Linked DNA regions of Saccharomyces cerevisiae S288C. The protein of the gene in region 2 binds, or shares a complex with, the protein of the main gene of each other region. Each region holds a gene or a part of one and is shown on either strand. Other genes may lie near its edges.

Evidence for each region. The genes of interacting proteins can lie anywhere in the genome.
Region 1: MED4 (region 2) and SOH1 share a complex: the UniProt entries of both Saccharomyces cerevisiae proteins name them as parts of the mediator complex.

The regions. Positions count from the first base shown.
Region 1 is NC_001139.9:269,456-272,500, forward strand, and holds SOH1 (mediator complex subunit SOH1), read right to left. Parts: upstream 1,321-3,045; coding exon 937-1,320; downstream 1-936. Other genes in the region: U2-type spliceosomal complex subunit CWC23, read right to left, coding at 1-689; SCS3 (Scs3p), read left to right, coding at 1,542-2,684. UniProt on the Saccharomyces cerevisiae protein: Component of the Mediator complex, a coactivator involved in the regulated transcription of nearly all RNA polymerase II-dependent genes.
Region 2 is NC_001147.6:652,776-660,101, forward strand, and holds MED4 (Med4p), read left to right. Parts: upstream 1-5,971; coding exon 5,972-6,826; downstream 6,827-7,326. Other genes in the region: sphinganine kinase LCB4, read right to left, coding at 1-1,109; YRM1 (Yrm1p), read left to right, coding at 1,435-3,795; DCS2 (5'-(N(7)-methyl 5'-triphosphoguanosine)-(mRNA) diphosphatase), read left to right, coding at 4,489-5,550; ALE1 (lysophospholipid acyltransferase), read right to left, coding at 7,040-7,326. UniProt on the Saccharomyces cerevisiae protein: Component of the Mediator complex, a coactivator involved in the regulated transcription of nearly all RNA polymerase II-dependent genes.

The sequences.
Region 1 (3,045 bases), on a different chromosome or scaffold from region 2:
GCTGTGATGGGAGTATCGAATACAGTATATATGATGATTGAATCATCCTTCGAGTAGTTGTTTCTTTCAGAGAAGTAGATGTCGTAGATTTCATTAGCACTTAGCGTGATGAATACTTGATTGCGCAAATGAGATAAGCAGTTTGATTTATTATTTGATTGCAGGAAGTTGTCAAGGACAATTCTCAAAGTAGAGCAATCGTAATACGGATGTTGCGAAGCATTTTCTTGGTCTTGTGTGTTGAGATGTTTCCAGTCACCATAGGGCAAGTTGAAATGTTTTAGTTTCCTGAGTAGCTCGCCGTGGCGTTGGATTTGCAATAAATCAGGATGTGGTGTGGTGGTGGGTATCGTACTCGATTCAGATTCTTCCAGCTTTTGTATAAGTTTATTTCTTTCAATGTCGTTTGTTTTCCGTAGGAACTCAATTAACCAGCGGTCGTAATGGGGTCTCACGTCTGCATTGGTGAGGATATTAGTTGCGGTCGATAATAAGTGGAATTTGTGTATAATTGATGGATTGTCCGGGTGTTTGTCAGGATGATACTTCAGGGCAAGGGTCCTGTATTTGCGTTTAATTTGGGGCAAATCATCGTAGATGGTATGGACGTCCAGGGGGGTCGGTAATTCTAATACATCATATAGGTTCAAACGTTGATTTATTACGTCTTCCAATTCGTGTCCTGGCATAGTCGTGGCGAGGCTTGTAGTACGGCGATGGACTTGCTTTTTGATTTTGCTTTCATCTTCTAATGTCTTGCGAGATAATATGCAAGGAAAACAAAGGAAAGAAAATACAAAGTAATGCGGCTTGCATATATATATACATATATATATGTATATATGTGATATATATATGTGTGTGTGTGTATATATATTCATGAGTGTATAAAATAGATATATGAATGCGTGCGAATGTAGTTATAATTAGGTGTGTTCAGTTGGCCCATCTTTCTACCATTTCATTCATCCATTGCGGGCCTTGTAATTGAATGATCTTGGGCAGCTCGTCTAGCCCTTCCAGCAGGCCATCTTCATTAACGATCGCCGACTCCATGAACCCGTTCAACAGCTTTAAAATGAAGAGACAGTTTGGATACACAATGCATTGCGAATAAGGGGGGTTGCACCAGTACTCCAGGTATTTCAAGTAGTTTTTGAAGTTAGGAGACTTCCAGATCTGCTGTTGAGTGAGTAAGTACGTTACGTATTGGATGTTTGCCAGTGACTGGATAAATTCGAGCTCCACTTCGAACCTCGTGGGGAGAGGATTTTGATCCGAGGAAGGTGTCGCTGGTGCGTTTCCATTAGTGCTTGACATCCTGGGTGGAGCTTGGGGGAACTTTGCCGTCTTATGAGTGCTATAAGTTTTGGCTTACTTTGCCTCATTTTTCCTGCATTTCTTTTTCTTTTTCATCCTTTAAGAACACGTTAGCGGGAAAACCGTGAAATAAAATACAAAACGAACTGTTCGAAAAAAGCCAAAGGGGAAACGCCTAAAACTCCACTGAAACCAGCTATAAAGCACGGCATATTACAACAATGTCTAGCAAATGGTTTAATGCTATACACCTACTGGTGTGCCCGTTGACGGTACTGGTAGGATATCTCATGAACGCGTATGGCTACGGTGCGGCGCTGCAAGCAACCCTGAATAAGGATGGTCTGGTAAATGCTATGTTGGTAAAGAAAGGGTGGTTTTGGACTTCCTTGGTCGGATGGTGGTGTATTATACGCTACCGTGCGGTGCCGGGGGCAACCGGCAGAGACCGAAGACACATTGTCCAGTCATTCAAAAGGTATGCCATACTGACAGTGTGGTGGTACGTATTCACGCAAGGTATATGGTTTGGCGTAGGCCCCATCATGGACTTGGTATTCGTATATACGGGTGGCCATTGTCACTATGACGTCTTCGATGATGCAGGTCACGTGAACGAAGACTTCCAGGGTTCTGTCACCCGGACTAATCGCGCGTTGGCGCTCATTCACAATGTCCTCACTTTGCACGGACACCACCAAGAACACCGTCAGCAACAACTCTGGGACCGCTCCATAGGGTCGATCCAGGGCGCCCTGCAGGCGACGCAACCGAAAACCCCAAAAAACGTAACGGCCAGCGCTGCCGCTGCCATCAATACTTTTATTCATGACCAGATGCACAGGTGGCAAGGTCCGTTAACCACCTCGGCACAGTGCAGACGTTTTGGAGGCCATTGGGCTGGAGGACACGATCCATCCGGGCACGTGTTCTTGGCCACCTTGATGTGCATGTTTCTTCTAGGTGAGCTACGTGTGTTTGGGCGTCGTGCACTGGCTCACTTGTACGCGCAGAAATGGCAGCTTGTACGATTGGTGACCCGCCTTTTCGACACTGGACCGCTATGGACGTGGCGGCGGTGTGGCGGCGGCTCAATGACCTGTGGCGCCCGTTTGTGGCGTGCGATAGTCGAGCCGCCTGTCACGTGCGCGGCCGCCCTGCTCCGTTTGACGCGATGCATAGCATGCGACCACCCAGTAATCATACTGCTGACGCTATTGGTCACGTGGTTATGGCAGCTGCTGTTGACTGCGGTGGCGTCCCGTTTCCACACCGTACGTGAGCACATGTCTGGATTGCTAGCTGCGTACATAGTGACAGGCCTTGTCTACGCTCGCGACGCAGCCGCGCTACGTCCAGTATGACTCAGGAAAAGTTGGCGATAGACCACGAGCGACTGAAAAAATAACAGCGACTTTTCTCCCGGTAGCGGGCCGTCGTTTAGTCATTCTATCCCTCGGATTATAGACTGTGAATATTGCATATGCAACTTTGACTCAAATTTTTCCAAAATTTGATATATATATATATATATATATGTTTGTATGTATATATATATATACGTATATATATCATATATACGAAAAGTAGAAAAAAAAAGGTGATATTTCGCTCGTGGAAAAGCTAATGCCACAGCTTGTGTTTCGTGTAGTTTGCCTTGCTCCCCTTGATTGAAATAGTCTCCCTAAACTAAAGTTATCAGCAAACAGAACCACCACAGTTACT
Region 2 (7,326 bases):
CTTGGCCATTCGTTCATATAAGAAGGTTGGGAACAACACATTAAGTCTATTCTTGTTTCAATGGATTTGACAAGGCACAGAGCGGCGTACGATGGGTTATTTGTCCAATGACATGAAATGCTCATAGCATTTCCTGAACCGCAAGGTAGCTGAGTTACGGCTAGTTTATTGAACGCATCCACTCTGTCGGGTCTTCTATAAAGCCCATTAATTACTTCGTATGGAATACCATCACCCGAGGCACATGCAATGGTATCGTATTTGCTGATATCTAAATCTTTGGCAATATCGATGGCGTGACGGGCATATTTTGTGTATGCAATTTCTATTTTGCAGCCACTTTCCACTAGTATTGGCCTTGCTTTTGTCAGGAATAAATTTTTAGCAGTACCTTTACCACCGTGGGGATTAATAATGACTAATATCGATCTGTTTCTCTTGGAATTTTCATAACTTTTTTCCAGGATTTCTTCCACAGTACCAGAAGAAATGTTCTCCTCTCCGGTATTTGCTCTCGATTTCCTAGAAACGTGATCTATTAACAAGGTTAATTTTTGTGGTATAACATCATGGCCCTTGGGTACAGCAAAAGTTAACTCAATTAACTGTTGATTATCTTTTATCCCTAAAGATGGTGAGTTATCCTGTGAATCATCGGGAGACACCTTCACAGTGTTCGTTTTTGTATCCCACTTGTCTTTTTTGGGAAATGACTGTGATTCGCTTACAGGAGCCTTATCATTGCTCAAACTATGATTCTCAACGTCGTCATTTTCAGACGAAGAACTCAGATTTTCCGTTTGAAAAGGATTCGAAGAAATTTTGCCATTATTGAAGCCTTTCTGACCGACATTCACATATTTTGCGTTCAAAATTCTGTTGAACGGAATGGTAGTATTAAGAGGCAACAGTTCCAGGGAATCATCCTCATCAAAAGAACCTCCATCAGAGCTCAAAGTTCCATCATCCAGACAGGACAAGCAGCTCAACAAGGATAAAGAATCTCCGCTTCTGAGTTGACCATGCTTATTGAACATATGGTGTGATTGCGATTTGATCAATACACCTTCATCGGTCAAGATAGCCCTAAGTTTTTTCTGCACCACCATTATCTATAGTAGATTCTTCGCGTACTTTTCGCTGCTAGACTTTTGTGTTCTTGATAACCTCCAGGATCAGTACGTTAGACAAGGGAAAGTATCAGATGGGTTAAACACGAATTTTCACCTTCTTGTATGCCTTTCTTCCGTTAAATCATCTTTTTGCTTCAAGACCCTTGCAGCACGTTTTTTTCAGGCTCGGCAGTAGGGTGACACCCATGGTTTACAAGGCGATAAAATGACAAATGCCAGGTGGTATTGTAATAATAACGGCAAGAGTATAGAAAGTCAGAGGGGAAAGCACATTGAATGGTCCTGGTAAAGGGAGTTGTTAATGAGTAAGCGGGGTAGTTTACAGGATAGAGCTTCCCCATCGGAGGAAACTGTAAAGAAGGCGCAGAAGAGACGGAAACCAATAAAGTCATGCGCTTTTTGTAGGAAAAGGAAATTACGTTGCGACCAGCAGAAGCCAATGTGCTCAACTTGTAAGACGAGGGGTCGTTCTGGTTGCCTGTATACAGAGAAATTCACCCACAAAATAGAAACAAAAGAGTTATTTGGCAGTACTCCGAACATTGAACTGTTGAAAAGGATTGAGGATTTAGAGAAAAGACTAGATGACAAAGAGTTGACGGAGAAGGATGTAGCGCTTAGTACGAGCCCATTTAGGAACCCTTACGCTAATTTTTACTATTTACAATGTAAAGGCTCGGGAAGAAGAATAGTATATGGTCCTACATCTTTGAGAACGCATCTCTCAAACGATGATAATCGGTTTGTAAACACGTATAATCAGCTCTGGTCCAAAGTGAAAATCGAGAGAAACAGATGGAAGGCTAGGCATAAATGGACAATGAAGCCAGAAACTCAACTCCTAGAGGGACCGCCGTTAGAAAAGACAGGCTCTGACATCTTGCAACAGGTTTGTAACGTTTTGCCATCTTTTGAACAATCGTCAAAGATTATAACAGACTTTTTCAATACTGAACTGGAAACTAATGAAGTTAGTGAAGTATTAGATAAAACCAAAATAATAAACGATTTCACTTCCTCGTTTCTTCCAAGTGACGAACTGTTACCCAACGGTGAAAGGCGGATTGAAAAGTTATTACCATCGACAAAGAAAAACTATTATAAGATTGGAGTTATTTTGATGATACTGTGTATTCGCCATTTCTACAAAAATACTCCGGAAGAGATAGAGAAATTTCTCATCATGCTGACGGGACTGTCAACAGCTAAAGTATATTTCATTGAACGCGCTCAATTTCTCTTATTGAAATACTATCATCGAGAACTAATTTGGGCGTGTGGAGACGATTCGCATATGATTAGTCTAGTTGACTTATTATGCAGCACGGCAATTATGCTGGGTTTACACTTGAATATAAGAGAAATATACAAAAATCAAGAAAATATTGTGGGGAGTATGGAAAGTTTGGAAAATTTGTGGGTTTGGATTATATTATCAGATTTCAATGTTTCTTTAAATATTGGGAGATGTTTGGCGATTAACTCATCCTATTTTCAAGTCGATGAATGCGAGAATGGTGAGAGGTTGCCTAAAAATACAAACAATTATTCATCGACGGTTTTTTTCGATCAGTCAAATTCCTGCATGGGCAAGCTTAAAAGGTTTTTAAGATTAGCTCGACCAATGCTAGATCAAATTTATGATAGAAGCGCATTTCCAGACTTAGCCGAAAATTGTAAAAAACTAAGAAACTTTGTAGAGACTGAATTCCACCCAATATCATATTACACTGACAGTGAGTTAATATCTAAAGTTCCTTTGTGCGAGATTAAAGTGCTTGCGCAGGTTTTGAATTTGTTGTTGACGTTTTATTCCTTGAGGTATTTGATTTACAAGGAAAAAAGCGTTGTTTTAGAGAACAACATCCTGCAAACCATTTTGGTCTCTTTTTCCCTTGTCATCAATACGACCATACTGTGTTTTAACCTAGATGAGAAGCATTTTCCTGAGTTTTTTGATCATAATTGCGTTCATTTACCGCCATTTATGGCCTTGTCTTTAGTATACACAAATTTCCTTTTTCCTAGGGCCTCTACTGGCTTTTGTGCGTTTTTGTATCATAAGTTAACTCTTTTTGAGAAGGGCTATTATCTATCATCCAACATCAAAGATCAAGAAGTCACAGATTGGGATTTGTCAACCTTGAATATCCCGTTGGATAAAGCTATGAACTTACTTACTGCTTTCAAAATACATTCAGATATATTTGCTAAATGGTCTAATGATAACAACAAGCAGTTAAGAATTATTATGGCTCGCTCTTATACATTTGTTATCAACATCGCCCTGGAAAGCATATATAGAGCTGTTTTGGAAAAAGTAATCAAATATAGAACCGAGGTCGAAAACACATGGTTACAACAACTCCAAGACGAATTGAATGGGTCCTATTCGCTCACTGACAATGTAAATACTCCAATCGATCCCAGTTTAAGTGACCTGGGCGTCACAAGCGCCAGTCCATTGGCGGGAAATTCTCCAGGATTACCCCCGGAGGAAGTGCGAAATAACAGCGAAAACGCTTCGCATAACAATGAAACTGGGCCAATTGAGACTGAACTGGCACAGACAATATCCAACGAATTTTGGACGGCGTACAACCTTGGCTGGGAGGAACTAATGAGTCAGCCAGATTATAAATATTTATTTGATACGCAGTAGAGGAGAAGTTCTTTTACAAAAAAACATGCTTGCGACAGCAGCTAGATAGAAAACTTGCATATTGTAATGGAAGACAGTCGAGAGCAAGCCATTGGCTTGGACTTGCGCTTGGACCTATCTTTCGGACCAACTATTTAATGATTAGTAAGACAAAAATGACATTTAAGCATCTATAAAATAAGAAAAATAAAAAAATGAAGGGAAAAAGCTAAACACTAACTTCTTGACCAAACAAACAAGGAAAAGCCAGTAATTGCGTGAACAAAAGGCACCTGCAATTGTTCTGATGGATGTACTTTGTCCAACCTATTCTGCAAGAAAAAGAAATCAACTCCAAAGAAGTATGGAGCTTACTGGCACTCTAGCCTCCAAAAGCTGTTAAAGTGTTCATTCGATTGTCAAAAATCTTCCCCATAATAATCACCCACCTCAACAAAATACTTCCACTTAATTATTGATCGATTAGAGCTAGCGTCAGTGATTATATGCTAGTCCGAAAGGACAGCCCCATGACAGCGGCCGCGCAGACGCCTAGGGGGGAAATAAGGGGTGACAATACCAATGAGTATAAAGGCAGAAAGAAGAGAAACAGAAGCACGGGGGTTTCGTTTGGTCTTCAAATATATGTTAGGTCGGTACCTTTTCATTGCAAAATTGAAAAGATTTGAGCGTGTAAAAGTAAAAAAATACATGATGGGTTCCCAAGATTTAGCTAGTTTAATTGGGAGGTTTAAATACGTCAGGGTGTTAGATTCGAACCCTCATACAAAGGTAATCTCACTACTAGGCAGCATAGATGGGAAGGATGCCGTGTTAACTGCTGAAAAGACGCATTTCATATTTGATGAAACGGTACGTAGACCCTCTCAAAGTGGCCGTAGCACTCCGATTTTCTTTCATCGTGAAATAGACGAGTACTCCTTTTTAAACGGTATTACTGATCTGAAGGAATTAACTTCGAATGACATCTACTACTGGGGGTTGTCTGTTTTGAAGCAGCATATTTTGCATAACCCAACTGCGAAGGTTAACTTAATTTGGCCCGCCTCGCAGTTCCACATCAAGGGATACGACCAGCAGGATTTACATGTCGTCAGAGAAACTCCTGATATGTATAGAAACATAGTTGTGCCCTTTATCCAAGAGATGTGTACCAGCGAAAGAATGAAATGGGTAAACAACATTCTTTACGAGGGCGCCGAGGATGATAGAGTTGTTTATAAGGAATACAGTAGCAGGAATAAAGAGGATGGATTCGTCATCTTGCCCGATATGAAGTGGGACGGAATCAACATTGATTCGTTATACCTGGTCGCGATCGTGTACAGGGACGACATCAAATCTTTGAGAGATTTGAACCCAAACCATAGAGATTGGTTAATTAGACTCAATAAGAAGATTAAGACCATCATCCCCCAGCACTATGACTATAATGTAAACCCGGACGAGCTAAGAGTTTTCATTCATTATCAACCTTCATATTACCATTTTCATGTCCATATAGTGAATATAAGGCATCCAGGAGTAGGCGAGGAGAGAGGCTCCGGAATGACAATACTGTTGGAAGATGTTATAGAAGCGTTGGGTTTCTTAGGTCCTGAAGGTTATATGAAGAAGACGCTTACTTATGTCATTGGTGAAAATCATGATTTATGGAAAAAGGGCTTTAAGGAAGAAGTTGAAAAGCAACTGAAGCATGATGGTATCGCAACCAGTCCTGAAAAAGGCTCTGGGTTCAATACCAATTTGGGTTGAAGGTAGAAGAGCAGCACTATTTTTTCATGTGCTGAACTTCAGGAAGCGCCGGCTTATATAAATGTCTTATTTAAATGTTTGTGTATACATCTCAATGGATTTTGAATTTTAACATAGAATGCGAATGCACAGTAACATAGTACATTCAGTTGCTATTTTCCGTATAAGCTTTCTTTCCCTTATAGCATACATAGCCTTTGACGTATTGCCAGCCTTTTCAAAGAAATGCGAAAAAATAGTGCATTACCACCTACGTAAGGTAGGCTGGAGAAAAAGATAAACTTTTGCATTCTCTGCTCACCATACCGCGAAGGAAAGTAGTTATAACGTGTCCCGTTTTCAACAAGGTTTTCTGGTATATTGTTAACGGTGGAGAAAGCATCTAGTATCAATTACTTCCAGAGTACACACAACGAATGTTATGTCTGTCCAAGATACTAAAGCGGTAGAGTTTTCTATGGGTCACATCAGATCATCCTCTGTATCCCTGGTAGCAGAGGCTACTTCAAACACGAATAGTGAAGACAAATTATCTAAGGTCCAACTCTACGAAGATTTGTGCCGGTACGAGGATACATTGAGTAAGTTGGTGGAATCTGTAGATCGTTTCAAACCAAACCTTGATATTGCCAAGGATTTGATCAGAACTGATGAGGCCTTGTTTGAAAACGTCAAACTGTTAGCTGAATATGACAATATCTACCGCAACTTACAGAAGATTGACAAAGACTCTGAAGAACTAGATTCTAAAACCAGGAAGATATTGGAAATTCTAAATGAATGTCATGACGAGTTAAAAGCACTACCGATGCTTGAACAAGTAGAGTTCGAGAAAAACACAATTTTACAGCAAAGATCGAAAATCAATTCGACAGAGTTGTTGGATTATGCCACCAAACTCTCCAAGTTTACCAAAATACCACCAACGTTCGACAAGGGAGCTGTGGGACCCAACAATTTTATATGGCCCGCAGAGGATGCCCTACGAAGAGGAATGCTTGCTATGGCCTCATTACATAGTAAAGAGCTAACTAGAATACCCGGTGAAGAAGTAGAAGAAACAGAAGTACCGACCGTACCGCCATCTCAAAGTGAAGAACAAAAAGGGCAGATGGCCAAGAAAGAAGGTACACCAAAGACAGACTCGTTTATATTTGATGGTACTGCTAAAGAAGTTGGTGATGAGGCAGACAATACCAAAGATAAAGAAAAGGAAGAAAATAATGATGATGCCCTAGATCTTGATCTTGATCTGTTTGATCCGGACGACTTCTAGTTGCAGTGTCTTGAATCTCTTCCTCGTTAGGAATGAAGAAAAAAAAAAGTTAGACAATAATTCGTGTAGGTAAAAGCGTATATAAAATTACATATATAATTTACTGCAATATGTCAAAGTGTATGAAAAACATTTGAAAGTAAGTTCCCACAGGAACTGGAAAATAAGACAACAAGACTGTGACTTCCACACGCATCTGTCGTTTTTGGCCATCTACTCTTCCTTTTTTGAAATAGGCTTTGGTGAGTAACCACTAAAACTCATTTTTCTCACACGTTCACCTGATCCACTTGCAGCGTTAGAAAATTCCTGCTTGAATCTTTCAAAAGCTTTAGAAAGGTTTTCCTCTTCTATTTCAAGACCATTTTTATTTCTCCATTCTTTGTAATCTTTGCAGAAATCTTCCCAATCTTCCTTAGCATTGTCCCACTTTTCTAACTCAATTGGTGGAATACCTAAGTTCATTTCTTCTTCTTCTGCTGTCTTTCCCTTTTCATGTT